2 linked regions of the Styela clava genome follow. The protein of the gene in region 1 interacts with the protein of each later gene in a pairwise test. Links are inferred from orthologs where the notes say so. Each region holds a gene or a part of one and is shown on either strand. Other genes may lie near its edges.

Region 1 (11,043 bases):
CCGCTTGATTTTGTCACAGATTTGATATAACATGGAATATGAAATTTGGATCAATAGTATTACCTCGCCAACTCCACACTTGGCAATAAATTTCAAGAAGTTATTACAACTTTATCTAGATATTGACATTTTTGCCAATTTCATGAAATAACAGGTTTTCAAACTGGAATATATAGAATATTTCTGAAGAAAAAATTCAATATATCGAATGCAAATGCGGTACTCAACTTCAGCTATCCATGATTTAAATTATGTTGTTAAATTTACAAATCAAGAGTATTCATACTGATGGGTTTATACTTTATGTATATAAATTTAAGTATATACCAACTTTGTTTTTTCGCCCATCAATCTCAAAAAATGATATATTGCTTTTTCTGTAAATTTCATTTCCTGGTGGATATTTCAACTGACATTTTGTCTAAAAAAAAGGGTAGATAGCTTGATAACAAAATAATTGAAAATTGAAACGCATTAAAATGGTGAGCTAATTCAATACAAGATTAGATGGTCATTTAACCAACATTTTATAGTAATAGTTAAATAGAAAAAAAATTTGCCTATATAGCAAGGGGACTTGCTCACTAAGGTTTCTTCTAACAAAAAAGGCGAAAGCTGTAGGATGGAGCTAACGTTCCCAAAAAGCCAATTTCTGCAGAGTGCCAAATGCAGTGCATGTTCAAATGCAGTATGCAGAGTTAACATTCAGACTGGTGTCAATGATATTGGACAAATTACTACAATACGCACTACTATAAACATCTTGCTATCATTAGGACATAAATTAAAATGTCTTACCAAATGTCTCTGAAGACACGTCAAACTTTTAACATATTTCAAACACCATTCACAGAGGAATACAACAGGATATGTAGTTAATTCAACAGGATAAGGTGAAAAATACCAAGGTTTCAATCTGTATTTACCAACCTCTGAAAAAACAATGTAAGCAAGATTTAGAATTTAGATCAAAGTTGATGAAGTAAATTCAGTACAAATCTTGATTTAGTTACCGGTACTAAAATAATAAAACAGTAAATTGAAGAATTTTAATGTTATCCACAAGGTGGTAGACACTGTTTAATCAGCTTGATCAATGACAAGCTTTCCACTGATAACAAACAGCAAACATTTTTAATGAAATACCACATTCAAAATATTCATAAAATATATGCTACATAATTAAAATTTAAATATACCAAATAAAATACATCTGACATCAAATAATGAACAAGTATGATGCTAATTAATCAATTGAAGCGTGCCATGAATTTTGCTTTGGGGTATAAGATGATGATTACTATTGTTGTTTAAAGTGTTATCTTATTTTACCCAATTCAGCTGATATGTATAAAACCTCACCTATGGAATGGATATTTTTGATTCGACTTATTTTATCTTCTTTTACATGAACTGTCATACTCCCGGTCTGTCTTGGAGCATTGTCTGATGAATCTTGCGATTCCTTTAAAAGATGAAGATATTGAAACAGGGAGTATATGTCTTGTGGTTAGCATGTTGTACTCTTGTAGAAATCAGTGTCATTGTGTGGGATATGCTCAACAAGAATGGTCTCAGTTCCTCAAACTCCCATAGTAGCTTTGTGTCAGTGAATAATCACATAGTCTTGTTTAGAATGAAGATGGAACAAATACGTCATTTAGTAAATTGATAAATCACAAAAGCACAAGCAATTACTGGTGGGCAAAAGTCAAAATTTAAGTCAAATCTCACATGACTGATTTATACAAGATTAAACTGCATGCTTATTGTAGTTCGAAAATTCAATTTCGTTGGTTCATTTTTGATTCAAATCAGACAATGGCCGTTCATCCATGAGCACTGGTTTGGAAATAAATTTGCTCAGCCACAAAAAAAATCGCTCACACAGAAGATTCAGCGCTCCCGTAGTATGTGCAACAAGATGGCAGACACCTGAACATAGTATGTGTACGAGGTTAGGGTTAGGCCATAATTTTATTCCAATTTTCCTTATTTTAGTTATATTACAAGTTCGGGGACTAGCCAAGTGACTCCTGTAGTATTTGTACCTGAAATTATGGCCTAACCCTGATACACATACTACGTTCCGGTGTCTGCCATCTTGTTGCCCATACTACGGGAGTACCAAAGATTCTTACCTCTTCTGGTCCCATTTCAGGTCCTTTTCTCTTTCTTCCTATCTTTGGCATCTTTTTAATTGCTGCCGTAACTTTTGAAGGATGCGCAGTTCCATTTTGCTGAAAAAGAAATCACAAACTTGAACTGAGAGAAAAATTGAAAAGCAGCAAACAGCATTCCCATCCTCACGTTTCACATTCACACAAAAGTTCAGAAACAGTAGTCGAGCATAGAATGCCCACAAAAGCAACATTCGATTATCTATTTGTATTCCATTAAAAAGTACTTACAACAACAATTTCCCTATCAGGACTATTATGGACAGAGTCACTGCTTCTTTTGGTTCCTATTTTTGTATCTTTCTTTGGAAATTGAATCTTTGACATGTCAAGTCGTTCTGCAGCAACCCACTCATCCAATCTTTTATTAACTATCAAAAATGAAAAGATATTATGAAATTTCCATTCACTCCTACATAGTAAAAATGCAACTATATAGGTCAGCTGTTATTTTCCAGATAATTGAGGAAAAAATCTATTGATGAACATAGATGGAACTTAATATTTCTATATATGTACATAGTATTAGAATAATGCATCAGCCAGTCATGCAATGTTGATATTTACACAAAACTTACAGTCAATATAGTGAACATAATATTCAAATTTGTTGTTAACATCTCGAATACTGAGAACTTCTGCCAGATCTGAAATACAAATAGAGACATTTAAAAAGGGTTGCAACTTACTCATACACACTTTATGAAAGAAGAGAAAACATTATGAAAAAATATCATAGTGCCCTATATACACTGTAAAAGTTTAAATGCGGGAGGTTTATCAAGCTTTGGAATGAAATGACAAATCAAGACTCAGAATATTTTGAAAAATAGTTCTTCGCCAAAATCTGCTGGACTAAAAAGTGATTAAATCAAAATAGATAACATAATATTTTATCACCAATATTGAAACTTGTATTTTGTACCAATGTTTTTAGGTATAGAATTGATATACAAACTTTTCGCGCCACACATGTTTTGCCTCGTGGACCTTTTCAACCAGATTTGAGAGTTGTCCAAAAATAATAATATAATATATAAATACATGTAGATGCAGTGAATAAATTTATGAATGTTTGTGTAAGTCATTACTCAAATCGTCATAATGCCATCTGATTGGGAAGGTCCGAGGAGTGAAAGTCTGAGGCAAAAAGTTTGTAGGCTATTCAACTTCAAGTGTAATCAGCATAATATTATAGTGTTACTGAATTTAAATAACATCCAATTAAAAAAATATCTTACGCCACTCAAATTGACCCTCCAGGTCTCTCTGAACAGGCATTCGACAGCCTTCGATAACACCAGCCTTTAAAAAAATAGTATTGATTAATATTTAGATACGAGAAGCTTATTGAAAACTTTGATCACAAAACTCAATTCATTTTTAAGTAACTTTAGTCAATCCAGACCATCAGATGATTGGAATACAGCATGGTTTCTCAAACTTTTTGAGCGGCGGACCCCTATTTGTTTATCTTAGTTTTGATGAATCCTATACTGTATACTGTATCAATTTCTGTGCCTAACCAACGAAAAAGGATAATGTTTCATTTACAGCACAAACGGCATTAATGTCTGTAATTTGCTGATGTGATGGATGAAGTTGCGTTTCACTGCACAATTCAGCAATTTATCGATTCTCGGAGCAATTTGTGACGAGCAAGTTCGTAGATCCGACTCTAGGGCAAGTCTCGACCTGTATTTTGTCATCATATTGGTAAGAGCTGAAAATACTGCCACACATGTCTGCATGTAGGTCTTTGCAAAAGGCAATATGACCTTTAATTGCCTTTTCTAACAGCAATATGCGTACGCAGCGTTCAACCAAGTGCAATGGCTTTTTCTTTGACATCAATCCTTAACGATCAGACTCTTGTCATGTCATTGTGAACCCCCTGTGCAGTCATCACGGACTCCCAGGGGTCCGCGAACCCCAGTTTGGGAAACCCTGGAATACAGGACTATCTGACCATGAATATACTTATAAGAGTAAACAGGGTCCGTTCATAAGAAAGGATAGAAATATGCAATGTGCTGAAGTTTTCTCGAACACGTTTGAGACTGAATAGAATTTACTAATTATGGTACCAGTAACGTTACAGCAGTACAGGTAATATCGTAAACTGTACAGGTATGATTCAAATGTTGAACTTCAACATTTGGATTATAAAGCTAACTCCTAAATATACCAGTACCGTAAATAAATACAACCATACCTTCATTCCTTGTGACATATTCCGTACGACGCCGTTCCAATATCGCTCTAGGCTACTTGTTTTTAACCGGTGCGACCAGCGATGCAGTTATTATGAAACTGCTTCGGGAAAACACCACTTTATATATCGCTGTCACGTGAATACCTCGACATGGATAATTCGGCATTATCGGGTAAGATTTACAAAACAAAAGAGAGAGAGAGAGAGGAAATTTTTTGATTCGTCAACCAAAACAAATATAAATGGAAAATATAAAAATTGTACAAATCCTACCGGTGCTGTAAGCGCGAACTCAACTAACCCACCGTATTACATTTCCGGAACGTCTTTTGGAAAACAACACTTTATAACGTTTGTACTTAGGTCCTCCATATGAATAACTCGTCTAAAACAGGATCATGAGTTATTCGTCTTTCAATACCACATTCACAGCGAAAATAATTATCCTAAACGACTCTGATAGGATGTGGTTCAACCTTTACGATTACGAGCCTGTCGAACGCCTACGATATTCTGCGAGCCTCCCGAACCCCTGCGATATTCTGCGAGCCCCCGTCGAACCCCAACTTTGGAATCCGAAAGATAATAAGTCAAAAACGTTAGCAGCTCAAGTCATTCGTTTTCAAACTGCATTGAAATATTGGATAATAGCTTTTGTCAAATGGTTCACAGAAATAGAAATACTATATATACGTATACCGTGTTTTCCCGAAAATAAGACAGGGTCTTGTTTCAATTTTCTTTCGAAAAATAACACTAGGGCCTATTTCGGGGGGTGTCTTCCATTTTCATATATTCGAGTTTTCGCGAATTGCCTCCCAGATTGGTTACGTCCGATCTGAAATATTCTGGCCTCACCATAAATAGTTGCTCTATAAATACATTTGATTCTTTTTTTTTCCCGAAATAGATACTTATCTAAAGATTTGTTCCAAGAAAAGAAATATAAATATTTATTATAAAGTATGTTGCAACATGTACATTATAGCGAAATTTCAAATCCAAAAATGAACCAATATATATATACCGGGAGGAGTGCACCATCATGGTTTGATTAATTGATTGGAAAAAATAAACTTGACTTGACCTAAACACTTTAGATGAAATTTTACTTTGAGAAAAATAAACAGAGACAACACTTGAATTTATTTCATTTGAATTGATTTATTTTTACAAAATTAGTACAGTATATATATATGAGCAGTGGCGGCGCGTCAATAGGGCCAACCGGGGCAATGCCCCGGTTGTTTTTTCGGTATAATAAAAAATATTCGAAAAATACCTCAATATCGGTTGCACAGACTGTCTACACTAGCCATATTCTCCCGACATGGTTCATTTTTCGCTCGCAAAGCCTTCGCCGAACGTCGACGGGGCGACGCCGATTTTGCCCCGGTTGCTCATTGTATATCGTATTCTCTCTTTTATCTTCCACTCGCCGCGTTTGTCTCGTTTGTTTTTCTGTTTCTTTTACTAAATCATCGGGGCCGATCGGGGCTAGCCCCGAAATTATGACGACACAATGCCGACGTTTCTTACTACAACGTGTTGACATATTCACGCATTCCTTCTCGTTCGTTGGTTGCTTGAAGAGTTGATAGTTTCCTCGCCTTCGTTTTTGTCGCTTGTTTCGCTATTTGAATCAGTTAGAGACCTTTAGTCCATTTGCTTTCGATTTTCCACATTCCTTTTGAGCTCCTCACTTCTTTCCGGCTTCGCATTTCTTAGCCTTAGACCTCATAATGAATAAGGTTGATGCACTACTTCGCACTCCGTTTTCGCAGCTGCCGCTGGAACAAAAATTAGAGGTACAACGTCAACGTATTGGGCCTTATCAACCAAAAAATTGTTCACTGGAACAATCCCATGACGGAGGAAAGCGTCGGCGTACATTCTGCGCAGAAACTTGGTATAAAAAACACGAATGGTTGTGTTACAGCGAGGACAAAAATGCACTTTTTGGTTTTTATTGCCTACTTTTTGCTACCGCCCGTGACTCACGTTGGTGTAAATTTGGTTTTAGAGATCTTAAACATCTTTCCGAGCGTGCCAGGGATCATCAATCTTCTATGGAGCATCTGGACAATGCAGTAAAATACCGAACATTCGGAAATGTTAATATTGCAGCACAGTTGGATGAAGGACGCGCGGTTTCTATTCGTCGGCACAACCAAAACGTCGAGAAAAACCGCCATGTTCTCGGTCGATTGATAGATGTTTTGAAGTTCATTGGTTGTCACGAGCTGTCCCTCCGTGGGCACGGTGAACGGGCTGGCTCTTCTAATAGAGGGGTATTTTTGGATATGGTGGAATACACCGCATCCCTAGATACAGTATTGAGAGATCATCTTGATGCCGCAACTGTTTCGAAAGGGACATCTAAGGATATCCAAAATGTTTGCTCGACTCAATGTATAAAATTTATTTACAACATTTGGCTCTGGAAATTGAGAATTGCCAGTTCCTTTCGATTCAGTCCGACGAGACAACTGACATCACGTGCGTTTCCCAACTGGCTGTGATTTTTCGGTTTGTGAAAGATGGTAAACCTACCGAGAGATTTCACAGCTTTGTACCAATCGTTGATCGCACGGCTTGCGGGATATCGGCTGTACTGAAAGAAGTGTTACAGCCTTACAACGCGAAGTCAAAATTGATAGCTCAAACTTATGACGGCGCGGCAGTCATGAGTGGGTCGAAACATGGTGTTCAAGTTTATATAAAAGAAGATTTTCCTCATGCGCATTTTTTACATTGTTATGCACACCCATTTAACCTCGTTATTAAAAATATGTGTCTTGATACCCCTCTCGTCCGTATATTTTTAGCAAATGTTTCGGGGTTTTCTTCATTTTTTTCCGTTTCGCCGAAGCGCTCTGACCTCCTTCGCCAGATATGTAGCCGCCGTCTCCCAGCTTGTGCACCAACACGTTGGAACTTCCAATCACGCGTGGTGCAGGGCGTGTCCGAAATTAGGTCTGAGCTCATTGAGTGTTTCAATGGCATTCAGAGCTCTCCGGTTTGGGACGAACGCTCTGTGAGGGAGGCGGCAGGTCTAAAGCGTCTGCTAGAAGATGGTGAGTTTTCATTTTTTTCTCCACAATATTCTATCACGTGGATGTATTATACGGCGCATTGCAGTCAAGGCTAATGGATGGAGCGTCTGTGCAGTCGTGTATTTCAGACTTCTGCGATGCTGTATCTCGTATCCGGGAAACAATAAAATACGACGACACATGGAGTGCTTCTTTACGCGCGGGCAAACAACGCAGCGTTTGATTTTGTCTGCAAAGGAATGCTGTGACATTCTGGTGAATCAAATAGGCGATCGTCTGCGCACTGGACACCTTGCCGTGTTCTCTTTGATGAACCCCAAAAAATTTTCAAAATTTGCACGTCAATTTTCCATCCATTTGTTGGCTACTGTCTCCAAATGTTACCCCATGATAAACGTGGGTAAATTGGAAAATGAATTGCGATGTATATACATCAATCAAACTTTTTTGAACATCACATCAACTTGCGCGCTCTATAGGTTCCTCATAGATAACACTCTAGTAACTACCTTTGCGGCGTCTGCAAAATTTCTGGACATCTTTTTGACGACGCCTATTTCTTCCGCCGACGCAGAGCGAACATTCAGCACGCTGAAGCATATTAAAACGTATCTCAGAAACACAATGAAGCAAGATAGATTAAATTCCTTGGCTGTTTTATCCATTCACAGAGACGTTATTTCTGGGATGCATGACTTTAATCAGCGCGTTATTGAGCATTTTGCTTCCAAGAAACCGCGGCGTGTTGCATATATGTTCAAGCAGTAGAAGCCTAGCAGCATATATATCTATGAGTGAGCGACGCATGTCCTTATCTTTGCATTAACTTTCCTTTCTTCATAGTAACGTTTTAAACCTTATTTTAGGTTTTGTCTGCTTTCCCGAAGTTTCTGTTAATATGTCATTGTATTTATCTGGGTAAATATTGCCTTTCCTTTTGAATAAGGTTTCAAAATAAACTATGTCTATATTTATTAATCCCTTGACTTGGACCGGTTTTGCTCATCCTGTCCCCGTAGATGGGGGTGACTTGGTCCCGCAGTAGCTTGCCCCGGTTGTCAAAATGACCACGCGCCGCCACTGTATATGAGGTATTCTACTAGAAGGCTCTCTAATAAATTCAAACCATCAATTCAGGACGATATTGTTTTAATCGAAGAAATGGATATGTTTTTCGGCAACATTATGTATTTTTGTCAGCTTACACAAGAAGTTGGCGGCGGCGGTGTGGCTCAACGGGCTAAGCGTTAGGAATACGCTCGCCACCGCACCTCTAATTACTCTGCGTGGGTTCGCAGGTTCGAATCCCATGCAGGGATGGTTATGTGCGAGAGGATTGCTGGACTCCTCGCCGTCGTTGGGTGGTTCACGTAACCGCTGGTCGGTTACGGCTTCCTCCACCACCAAGTCCATGCTTCCGAAAACAAACAATACAGTAAAAACTAATCCCATACCCGACTTGGAATGGTAACCGGACGAGAGGCCGTGGTTCGCCATATGGATAAGCCGTCTTATCGGCTTTCCTCTCCCCCGGGATAAATATGTAAATCCTATCCTATCCTAAGTTTACGGCGTAAAAAATGATGCATGGAATGCGTTTAAAATAAGTATACGCCCAAATAGGAATTGGATATTTCATACTACGAGTGTCAGACAAACCGAAACTTGCAAATCTTCTTCATCCATATCATTTAGAAGCAAAAAATATGTAAATATATATATACCATATGCAAATTGTAAAGGTTCAGGCTAAAGTTGCATCATTGATAAATCAATAGATTCGGTTAGCCTACCTTAATCCCTAATTTAGATGTTCATATTAACTAGGATGTGCGCAGTGAAAACAAGTTAGTACTCATGTACGTGAAAAACAATTCATTAGAAAACAATTTATTAGTCTCATGTTTCCAACTTGACGGTTCTTGGACTTCTTGACGACGGTTTCAACAAAAAATGGTCATGCATCCCAGCTCAACGTTTTCACCGATTCATTCACAAGCTGCACTCGTGAAATTTTCGATGCAAACATTCGTAAACACGATTTTGGGTTTTCGGGCGTGAGTCAGTTGTTTTTATTTTGTGTTCTAGCAGATCAAAATGAACAACACTGCTTTAATTAACTCCGGTCGGACGTGTTTCATTCTATCCTCGATCCAGTCATGAATCCTTGCCCATTAGCACATGCTAAATTTTACATCTCGAATAAATTAACCGAACCCCAACGCTAAGATTTCAGGTATTAAGACCAATGCTCAAATATATGGACACGTCCATCGGAGCGGAGCAGTTCTTACTTTGACGCTGCTGGTACCTACGGCGCTGCTCGCCATAGCAGAGCAAGAATTTCTTTACACACCACCGATGTTCGATGAGCATGTCATCAAAAAAACAAAAAGAAAAGTGCCAGCATAAAAACAAATCCCAGTGCTATCAGGAATATTTGAAATAAATAAAAGTAATAGCATTCTAGAAAAAAATTCATCTTCAACCACTGGAAATTTTGAATAAATGGGTCCAGTAATCAAAGAGAAAAGCGACTTTTTACGTTTTCCACTAGGTGTCCAAAAAAATTTGTAAAACGATCGTTATGTCCACAGACGTGTCCCATAAATTCACTCCAGTTCAGGTCTTAATGCCTGATATTCCACGCCCAGTTGATCATGCGCAAGAAACTTTGCCATACGATTTGCCGATACTGTACGAGGTGTCTAAAAAACGTCGTGTTCCACTTGTCCGGGTGTTTCAAAAATGTGGGACACGAGAGACAAGTGGGACAAGACATTTTCGAGACACCCATACTATGCGTACTTCCTAGTGTCGTGACGTACTTCCTAGTGTCAATTTGCGCGTCAGGCGATGGACGATTAGAGACCAATCGGCGCAAAATCGCCACAATATCTTGGAACGATTTTTGGAAACTATTATGAAGTTCAATTAATTAGATACAGACTCACTCCGCAAGTCATGGAATAGTCATAGCGTTTCTACTTTCTATATTCCAGCAATTGGGTTGGTGGTTGTACAACTAATGGGCTGAAACATAGGCCCTCCGCGATAGTACACATAGACTGTAGGTTGGTTAGTTCATGGTTCGCGAAGGTTGGGTAATTCATCTTAGACACAATTGGATTGCGACCAGTTAGGTAGACTGTAAAATTCTTGAACTTGCAGCATGATAGGGAGAAATATTTACTCACCTTCCACAATAATGAAAAAAAAGTGGAGATATTTGAAGATCAAGATCATTTGTCACCACCAACGTTAATTAGGAGATATTGAACTTCTATGTCCTATACATGGAGTGAAAAGCATGACATTCATATTTTTTGCAATTAAAATCACAGACAGGTTTGAACAATAAATAAAATTCGTAATCTTATGCTTTTTTATTCAATGTCTCCAACATAATGAATGCTATCAAAAATATGAAATAACAAAAATGATTAAGACGGAAGGAAATGTATAAATAATGAAGGCAATAATTGACAATCAATGACATTAGAAATGTACATATGGAATATATATAAACAAACACAAAAGTTCAGGCCAGACATTTCCTTGTAATATCCACAGCCAACTATTGACAGCACTG
Region 2 (10,650 bases), about 4.6 Mb from region 1:
TGTGTGGGAAATTAGTCCAAACAGAGTAGATGCCGCTCCAGATCCTAATCCAGCAATGAGTCGTCCAGACCAAACCAAATACTGATTCTTCCCTATGAAATACATTAGGTTTCCGATAATTTCACCGATGTTTCCCACTATAACACAAGCTTTAGTGGACCCGGTTTTGTCTGCAACCCATCCATATAATGGTGCACTCACCAACCCTCCAAAACTGAAAGAGGCCAGAACAATGCCGAGAAATGTTTGCTCTGCGCCAAGGCTTATCAAATATCCATTTATCGTTGGTAGGATGACAGCATATTCCACACCACAAAAGAAAAAATACAGTCCCATGCAAATATTTCGAGCAAGAGGTTTTCCACAATTTGCCATTTTAATTTCTGCCAGAATTGAGCTAACCGATGTGGTCAATTTTCATTTCTTGATGAAGTTTTGGATTCAATGAGACTATTAACATACCTAATTATATTATTGTAATCCTACGAGCTATAAAAACACTGTTAAAACAGAATAAAACAAATTGAGCATTTAAAATCTATTCAGCAGTAGGCTACATGTTTTGATCAAGAAACAGCATAAGAACACTATAAAGGGCAAATAAAAGCAACCTCAAACTTAAGTTTGAGGGGGCGCATGGCATAACCTGAGAGAGTCGAAGGCTCAAATATTGTAAATTAAATGATGTGGATCTTGATTTTTTTTCCCATCAATCACTACTGAAGAGGGTCTTTCTATCATTATTGTGAGAAGTACAATTTAATTAATGTCAGCTTTCATATCTCGGATGATCGTGTTTCATGTCATAAAAGAATAGTCAGTTTAGTATTTTTCCCTAGAAAAATCAACACATGCAACTTGCAGCTATGCATTTGACATAAGTCGAAAATGTTTCAAGTATTTCAAACCACAATTACAAATCAAGTTCAAACGAAACCTTAAAATAACATAACAGCACCAGCATTTTTATGTTAGAGTGGTTTTTTTTTTGTAGCCACTGGGATGGTACAAGAAAGTTGACAAATATTGATAATGTTAATTCACGTCAATATTGATCCCAACACTGTAAATAATCATATAAGATTAAAATATGTATGAAAATTTCAATCCCACTTGAAATGTTGTTAATTAATTATTGTCGGATAACTCTGACAGTTCTTATGCAGAACCTATATACACCAGCATAAAGCAAATTTGTGTTTAAACAAATGTAAGTATTTTTGTACAGTTATGCCCAACAAGTTCGTTTTGCAATATGAGCAAGAGCAGTATATTGTATCAGAAGCAACCAACTAATTGTATATATCTATACCCATCACAGACTAGTGATCTGGTGACAGGGCCATGATAGTATTGAGCCATCTCATCATATTTATCTCGCCTGGTATAAATATGGAAATTTTACTTTTCAATAGGTAGATAGATATTACAAATAGATATTACGCAACATTTTATTTATAATTGATACATGACTTCTCAAAATAACATATCTAAAACAGAATGGTCAGATGACTGTTCAATATGAAAACGCAGAGTATACTTTAATAAAAAGTATATTAATGGTAATGGCTATAATGCTGTTCAAAAATATAATGGGTGACCATGAATACATACTTTACATAGATATATTCATTGTTCTTCATTATAAAAAGTGAAGAATAAAACTAATTTCATACTATACCATCAAGCAAAGTTTATAAATTAACCATTGAATAATTTATATAGTTAAAGGTTCAACCCCCTTTCCTACCACCTTACCCAGGTTGAATGAATTAGGTGAACAATTCTTTCCATGAATAGTAGCTCCATACACATCAGTGGCGGTTTGTCTAGAGCAGGGCTGCACAACTCAAATGAGGATACGTGCCAAATTTTTCAAAATAATCTTGTCGCGTACCACGCACAATTGTGGTATTGTAAATTAACTCCTGCAAAACAAACAAATTTCAATAATAATACATAATAACGGATATCTATTTATTGAAACAATTTAATGTCCTGAAAAACTGCTGATTTTGATATAAACGTGATATTTTAATGTGTATCATAAATATTTTTTTTTCACAAAACTGTTCGCGTGCCACGTTTGAGCGTATGGCGTGCCAAATTTGGCACGCGTACCGCGTGTTGTGCACCCCTGGTCTAGAGCACCGGTTCTCAACGAGTGGGTCATGGCACACTACTAGGCCACAGAAACATTTCCAGGTGGGCCAAAACCTACTGTAAATTGCACAAGAGTTATTGATAAATTTATTTACATTTGTGTCACTATAAATAAATTTTGATTGCAGTAGCAATAAAAGATGCTTCTGTTGTTTGCTGTGGAGTGGTAATTTTCATTCTAATCATCAATAAAGTGAAAGTGTCTTTATTGTGGGAAGATTTTTTTTTTTTGTAGTTTTATCCTGGCATTGAAAAGTTAATGGGCCATGAAATCTTTGTTCAACAAAAATGGGCTACGACAGAAAAAAGGTTGAGAACCACTGGTTTGGAGGTTTATTCAAAGTGAAAACACCTCTTCAATAATTTGAAATTCGTAATTGACGTTGAAATATCTCAATATCAACTGTGTGTGACTAAAAATCATAAATACCAAGCGATAAACATGGAATATTATATCCTTGATAAAAATAAGTAAAACCTGCCAGACAAAAATTAGTACAACTGAAAGGAGTAAACAGTTTGTCAAGTGTGAGGTTCCTCAGTCTCAAGAAGTTTGGATTGAGGTTGCCCTGTTCCACATGTATTGTATGATTTACATTTAGAACATTTCAATCCCAGAACATGAAATCGGACATTAGACACTCCCTGACAGTCCTTACAAAGAATCCATATCAATGTGTTAGCATATTCGTCTGGCATAGGTGTCACAGCAATCTCTTCATCAAGATTTTCCCAAACTTTTGACATTTCCAAAGTCGATTTGCCACATGACGGACATCGATATTCATTGTGTTGAAGCATTACAGAATAGCATTTTCTGGAAGATAAAGGCTTAATTACTTGAAGGGTGTTGTCATGAAGCTATTTCAATATTCATATTAAACAAATAAGGGAATTGAAAGATTGACTTGAACAAATCACCGAATTCTTATGATTGCGAAGTCACTCAATCATAAAATGTTAAAATTTCAAATTCATTAACTTGATGATAAATGATGATATAAAGAAGTGTTGTGCAGATGCAGATGGCCAACAAGTACACATAAAAAACTTTCTATCAAAAAAACTATGAGAACATTCTTTAGCATATGTTAACCAGAACCAAGACAAATAACAATCTTTGGAGTAGAGATAATTTAAAACAAAACTAGTTAAAATCATTGTTACAACTCTTTGAAGAACGACTAGTGACCACCTATATATTTTCCCCTATAAATTAGGGATCCACAAGCTTAAACCACAATCAAACCACAACTAAATTTCACAACTATTCCTTTGATTAACCAAGTTTAGAATCAGAATTCTTTTGATATACCACTATGACTATTTAGTCAAATTTTCTTGTCTGAAAAGTCTTACACACAGCCAAAAGAAAAGTTACACAATATGCAGCAAGACTATCGAGTGATTTCAAGTTTAAATAGCCTTGTAAAAAAGTGACAAAACCTTCGTGAAAAAATTTAAATTCATTCATATCACACAATTGCACCAGTGTGGCATGGTATCATGTTGGTAGATGGGAAAACATTAATGAAAAAACTCACTGGTGAATAAGATGGCCACACGAGGGAACCTTTAATGACTCCGTGGATGTGTGCATATCTTCTAAACACACTGGACAATTGGATTTCGATGATTTTTCCACACATCTTAATAAAAAGTAACAAGCTTGCCACAAGCTCTCAACACAATGTGTATCAATAAAGAACAAAAATTTTAAATATCGTTTTCCATTAATATTTAACCCCTAAGCCAAGGGTAATAAAATATTGCATATTTTAAACCTTCTAAATCAATGCTCAAAGGCTGAATATAATAAATTGTAAATACCAAAAATCAACCTTATTAAATGCCATTGACAAATTATAAATTAAAATGGGAAACAGCAGAGTGTGAATTTGGCATTTTTATTTTGTACATGCATGAATCTGATTGAGAGAACAATTGTTGAGATTGAGGAATTGTTGAAATTGACATAAAAATACAAAACAACGAAAAGAGCATAAATTAATTTGAAAAATACATACTTATGAGAATCCTTGATATCAATACTTAAACATAGATCACATTTCGCGCAGTGAAAAAAATTTGCACGTCCCCCTACTCGACACAAACCACAATCATCACAATGATATTGCTTACGATCTCTGTCATCAAACATGTTACATATAGAACAGTGATATTTTCCAAAATTTGTACTGCAAACTTTGCATCTGAAATATTTTTTAAATTTTTAAACATAATTAGGTCACAAAGCTTGGTTTATAATTTTAATGCCTTTTTAAGAGCTCTTAGCTCAAGGTTCTATTAGATTAAGGAAAATATCAATAAAAAAAGTTTTTTTGAAACTATGTTAGAAAAATGGCCAGTACAAAGAATATATATACAAATTTAAAAAAAAAGCGATCAACTATTTTAACGAGAAGCCAAGAAGCTTGTTATCAAGGTTTTATCATTAAATTTGAAACTGACTCTGGAGAAACTTCTTGAACAGTGCTACAATTGTTGCATTTGATATGCTTCACAAGGTAGCGATTCAGTTTGTGATTACACTTCTCATCATGGCATAGGCGGCAAGGATAAAATTTCCAGCATGTAGAGCACTCTAACAGACATCTTCTTATGTAGTGTGTGCAAATTTCACTCTCTGTCTCTGTGTGAGAATTATTACCTATATCTGACATTTTGAGTTTGTAATTATATTTAACTTATCTGCAACACACATAAATATAAACAATACTGATTAACTGTTCACATTGTAACAAGAACAATAGCAATAGGGACTGGGATATTAATGAATACCAGAATAAATCTTCATATTTAACAACTGACTTACTAATCCCAGAATCCCATACACGGCTTGGAATTGTTAAGTCGTCTTAGGATAGGATTTGCATATTTTGAATTATATTTATAATATTATTTATCGCGGGGGAGAGGAAAGTTGACAAGACAGCGCAATCATATGGCGAACCACAGCTATAACGACTTTCCTTTCATCCGAGGTAAATATGTAAATCTGTATGTAGGTCAGGGTTGTCCAGAACGAATCGAATATTCTAAATTATTCGAATATCAAGGTATTCGAATACCTTTTCGGCTCATTTCCGAATAATTACGAATAGTAGTCACTTTTCCCCGTAAACACGGTGTTTCGTTTTACCGGAATCTTCAAACGACTTTTTACGCTTTCTCACGTATTGTAATGACGATGAAATAGAGTCGGCATTTTGATTGTTTATATTCAGCGCGAATGTACGTCGCATAGTGTTGCGACACATTTGCACGTTTGCGTTGGTGGACATTGCCGACATTCGTCTTTTAATTCACAAAATCATTTCCATTAGTCGAAAAATCGACAATCACCGTATTTCCCGGCTAATAAGTCGCTTTTCTAGACCCAATTTTGGCTTGATTTTTGGGGGAGGGGCGCCTTATTGAGAAAGCATGTTTATTTCATTTCTATGTGGCCTGCTTATTTTTCGCATTAGTCTTCTCAAGCATAATTTGTGTTGAACCTTATATTTGGTTCTTATGGGTCTGCCAATCATGATATTTAATCGTAGGCCGGTTATCGTTACTTAAAAGAGAAAACACGGCCACCGCCACCGAGATAAAGTAAGTGATTTATGACCCTTTGGTTTTGCCGATTCAGCAGAAAACAACAGGGACATGAAACACAGCTGTGAAATAACCCGTGGACGTACCGTGTGGTACTTATCACATTCCAAAATTATTTCAACATTCGGGTTGATAGGTTGTCCAAAATGATTGCCGCTTTATAATTTAAATTTACCGCTTCGTTGTTGAGAATAGTTAATTCCGTGAGTATGGTTCTACCAAACAAACATGATCTGGTTCTGTTCTGACCCTATAAAATTATAGATTGTTCAAAATGATTTTGATTTTTAACTTAAAATTACCGCTTTATTGTTAAAAATAGTTAATTCTGTGAGTATGATTCTACTAAACAAACGTGATCTGGTTCTAAACATTATTATTAGCGCATATTAGCATAACTGAACAACAGGGAATAATTTTTCTACCCGTCTTCTTGGAGGCCTATATGGAAAACCCCCTTTTTTGAGTGCTAAAAATATACATTGTCCTATTTGCCATGTAGACTTATTAGCCGGGAAATACGGTATTTATAGCCGCAATTGTTACGATACCCAATAAATTGTCACAAGTTGGGAAACAAGTTGATTTATTAGAAAAATACTTTCACCCGCTTTCTGGAAAATAATTTTGATAATGATGGTCAAAAGTATCGATAATGAAATGAATGTATGTATGTATGTATGAATGAAATGAATGTATGAATGAAAGTATTAATACCAAATACCACGGGTATTTGTGGGCATGAAATGTGTGGTAAACTGCCCAATTATAATTAATTTCGGATTCGTATTTACAAAATATTAAAACTATTATAACTCAAAAATACAACGGCGATTTGTGGACTTGAATGTGTAATAAAGTACAAATTATTTTTCCGAATTGTGACAATTTTTTCGAGTACGAAAATAGAATCAAAAATTAATTATATTCGGGCACAATATCACGGCATTCTGTGGACATAAATTGTGAGGCAAACTCGCGATTGATATTAATTTTTGATTCCTATTTTGGTATTTACAAAAACAACGGTGATCTGTGGACATTGAATGTGTGGTAAACTACCCGATTATAAATAGTTTTTGAACCCTATTTTCGTATTTATAAAATAATAAAAGTATTATTACACAAACATACAACGGCGATCTGCGGACTTAAAATGTGTGGTAAAGTTCCCGAATATATTTACTTTTTGATTCGTATTTTTGTACTCACGAAAAAATTGTCTCAAGTCTGAAAAAGAACTCATACTTTATCCCGCTTTTTGACAAATAATTTGGATAATGGTTGGTATTTAAAAGTATGGGCGTTTTACTAGGATGATTTTGTGTTGCGCAAGCATTCAAATCCATCACCGATACCACTATTTAAAATGCCTTGTCGTATTATTTTAATTCTGTTAATTAACACAACTCATGTTATATAAAATATATATCGCAATAATCTGCAAACATGAAATGCCTGGTAATATAGCCAGGTTGTAGATAGAAGTTATTCCATTGTTTATTGTATGAAAATTCCTTCATACACTTAGATTCTATTACTGGATTTTATTTTCGAAGTATTCGAAATTTCATATTCGAAAATAATAATTTCGAATGTATTCGAAATAGTGAACTATTCGGTATTGGCCATCCCTGATGTAGGTACTTCCAAACATCGAAGTAAATTTTTTCGCGATATCGCACACTTTGGGAATCACTGACCTAGGCCCTCTCATCGTATAAATCGGCCGTGAGCCTGTGACTGCAACTAATCCTCCCCGAACACAAAATTACTTCGGCCTTCTCAATTTTAAGACAGCACGGTACAGCAGTAACTGGATAAGGTTTTCATCAGTATTTATCCAGTCCAATTTTAATATTCCAAGTTATATTGTCCATTTCGAATTGTACGGTATTCCATGTTGTGATCTGCAGAGTAGGCCTACCATTTGAAGATATTCATTTTAGTTTATGGATTAGGCATATAGGCAGTTCTTCATTATATTGCAGAATGGACAGATGGACCAATGCCCATCATTGTTATAAATAAATCTCTCCCTGCCCCCCATTCCCGACATGAACTGACAACCGGACGAGAGCCGGGGTTCGCCATATGACCCCGGCTCAAATATTGAAATATGAAAATCCCAAGATGTTAACTACGTAAAATATTGTAATATATATTCTGAAATCGGAAAATATTTTACATGCGACGACCTATAAATAACAGACGCAATAAGGTCGTTTATTAGTTCAAGGGTTGGGGTTTCGGGGCCAATTTTTGAAATCCCCGTACCGGGATATCCCGGGATTGAGCTGTATAATCCCGGGACTTTTCGGGATTAAGTAAAAGATTGAAACAACTTGCATGACAATAAAATCACGTAATTATTTCATGTAATAAAGACACAGAAATATTAGAGCATCTAGGACAGTGGTTCCTAACCTTTTTTTTATATCGCGGCACACTATTTAGCTCTTTAAATATTCGCGGCACACCTATCACAAAACACGATCATTTTCTACTCATAAAGAGTGCGATAGTCGAACGCGATCATGGGGGTCTCGTGTAGTTTCGTACCGGTACCTAACGTAGCATAACAATTTTTTGATATGTCAATCCTAACCCCCATCTGATTACGCCATCAAAAAATTAAATCACTACGACATCACAATCACGTCATAGAGCTTGCCAAATATACGCACGATCGATCGAAATGGCATTGGCGCCTACGATAAAGAACTGGCTGACGTTATCGGTCTCTCTCCTATTGGAATCGTTCCGACGACAACTGTTTTCTTACGTTAATGTAAACAAGAGCGTCTTCGGAGCACCTCACATTATTTTAAAAGTTGTGCAGCCGCGAAGTGGACATAACGATCGTTTCAATATTATGTTGTTGTTGTTGTTGTTGTTCTTGTTCTTGTTCTTTGACACGTTTTTAAAAAGTCGCTTTACTCTTCGAATACTGGACCAATTGCTTTGAAATTTTCAGTGGTTGAAGATAAAATTTTTCCCCAGAAGGCTATTACTTTTATTTATTTTAAAATTTCCTGTGGACTTCGAGAGATTCGTTTTTTGTGTTCAAAGAAGTGATCAGAATAAAAAATAGTGACACCTTGTGGCGATTGCGCGAAGGCATATCAACTGAGAAGCGATCGTAATTCTTGCTCCGCTAAGAGTTGTTTATGATGGGATGTTTGGGGTTACCGGTACCCGCAATGCAGCAATGCAACGGTTTGCGATTTCAATAAACTCGAAAGGTTTTTGAGGTTAAGTTAAACTACCGGTACTGTTTCGCGCGGTGTTCAATCAATCAATGTTCACTTTCCATATATTTCAATATTTGTAGACTGTGGTTCCCGTGTTAAGCGAAAGTGATACTGGTACGATACGGTAGCTGGGAAAGCTATGACAGTCCCTGTGGCCTGTACGGCACGTACCGGTACCGTTTACAGGTTTACGTACCGTCTTACCGGTACCGTAGTCCGTTACGGTACGTACCGGTACAGCTGTACAGGTACGATATCGGTAGACTAGTACAGTATTACTGTACTAGTTGCATTAATTATATTTGTTTAGAGTGTGTGCCTGCATTGGAATTAAGTTTTTGTAATGAGCCAGCATGTCTGCACAGCTGCTATGCCTTTCTAATTTTTGGCTGTTTCGTTACATTTTTTTGGAAACAACATTTGCATAAATACGTATGATACCGTATGCAGAGGAAGAAACTTCACAAAAATTTCAACATGTGCAGCAGGTTAGTGTACATAAATCAGTAAATACAGAAATAAGCAGAGGAAGAGACTTTACAAAAAGGATAAGATTTACATTATTATCCCGATGGAGAGGAAAGCCTATAGAACGGCTTAACCATATTGCGAACCACTGCCTCTTGTCTGGTTACCGGTAAGGTACCATTCCAAGTCTGGTACCGGTATGGCTGTATGGGGGAAGCATTACAATCTTTCCAATAGTGTTCAACATGTTATGAAATATGGTGGTTGCGGTTTCATCAATGCAAAAAATATTTGCCGGTTTAACAGCATGATGCAGTTATTGCAAATAGTTTTCGTGTCCATATATTTGAGCTTTGCTCTCTTGTTGTTGTTGTTGTTCTTTGACACTTTTTGGACATCTAGTGCAAAATCTAAAAAACCGCTTTTCTCTTTCATTACTGGACCGATTGCTTCGAAATTTTCACTGGTTAAAGATGAAATTTTTCTCCAGAAGACTATTACTTTTATTTATTTCAAATATTTCTGTGAGATTTGTTTTTGTTTGCTATGACGTCACCGAACGTTCTGCGGACGCATAGCCGACACTCCTCTTCTTTTTGATCACGTGCCATTGAACGTCGATGGTCCGTAACGAAGTCCTTACGGTACTTTTCTACGATTTTTTCCTTACGCTGATCGACGGTACGGTAAACCGTACTGTACTGCGAACAGACGTGTCCATATATTTGGGCGTAGCTCTCTTGTTGTTGTTGTTGTTCTTTGACACTTTTTGGACATCTAGTGGAAAATCTAAAAAACCGCTTTTCTCTTTCATTACTGGACCGATTGCTTCGGGATTTTTACTGGTTAAAGATGACATTTTTCTCCAGAAGGCTATTACTTTTATTTATTTCAAATATTTCTGTTAGCTCTGTGAGATTTGTTTTTGTTTGCTATGACGTCACCATACGTTCTGCGGACGCATAGCCGACACTCCTCTTCTTTTTCACTCCTATTCATCTTGGGGTCATTGCCCATCATTTCTACATGGGTGTGGAGTTTGCAGCAATTTTTTTTACGGCTCGATTTTTGTATTAGTGTTTTTCGTCAAACCTGTGCATCATGATGACGCACAACCTGAACCTGTTACGATACTATGTTCAGG

Evidence for each region. The genes of interacting proteins can lie anywhere in the genome.
Region 2: the proteins of histone acetyltransferase KAT5-like (region 1) and RING finger and CHY zinc finger domain-containing protein 1-like interact in a two-hybrid assay, tested with the Homo sapiens proteins (2 studies listed by BioGRID). The link is inferred for Styela clava from reciprocal best matches to the Homo sapiens genes KAT5 and RCHY1.

What each region holds. Positions count from the first base shown.
Region 1 is NC_135257.1:5,467,033-5,478,075, forward strand, and holds the start of histone acetyltransferase KAT5-like, read right to left. Parts: upstream 4,831-11,043; 5' UTR 4,414-4,830; coding exon 4,396-4,413; intron 3,486-4,395; coding exon 3,422-3,485; intron 2,828-3,421; coding exon 2,759-2,827; intron 2,552-2,758; coding exon 2,412-2,551; intron 2,241-2,411; coding exon 2,142-2,240; intron 1,466-2,141; coding exon 1,363-1,465; intron 933-1,362; coding exon 799-932; intron 422-798; coding exon 332-421; intron 1-331. UniProt on the Homo sapiens protein: Catalytic subunit of the NuA4 histone acetyltransferase complex, a multiprotein complex involved in transcriptional activation of select genes principally by acetylation of nucleosomal histones H2A and H4.
Region 2 is NC_135257.1:10,032,614-10,043,263, reverse strand, and holds RING finger and CHY zinc finger domain-containing protein 1-like, read right to left. Parts: upstream 4,896-10,650; 5' UTR 4,848-4,895; coding exon 4,636-4,847; intron 4,377-4,635; coding exon 4,191-4,376; intron 3,813-4,190; coding exon 3,708-3,812; intron 2,981-3,707; coding exon 2,686-2,980; 3' UTR 501-2,685; downstream 1-500. Other genes in the region: uncharacterized protein LOC120345755, read right to left, coding at 1-375. UniProt on the Homo sapiens protein: E3 ubiquitin-protein ligase that mediates ubiquitination of target proteins, including p53/TP53, TP73, HDAC1 and CDKN1B. Mediates ubiquitination and degradation of p53/TP53; preferentially acts on tetrameric p53/TP53.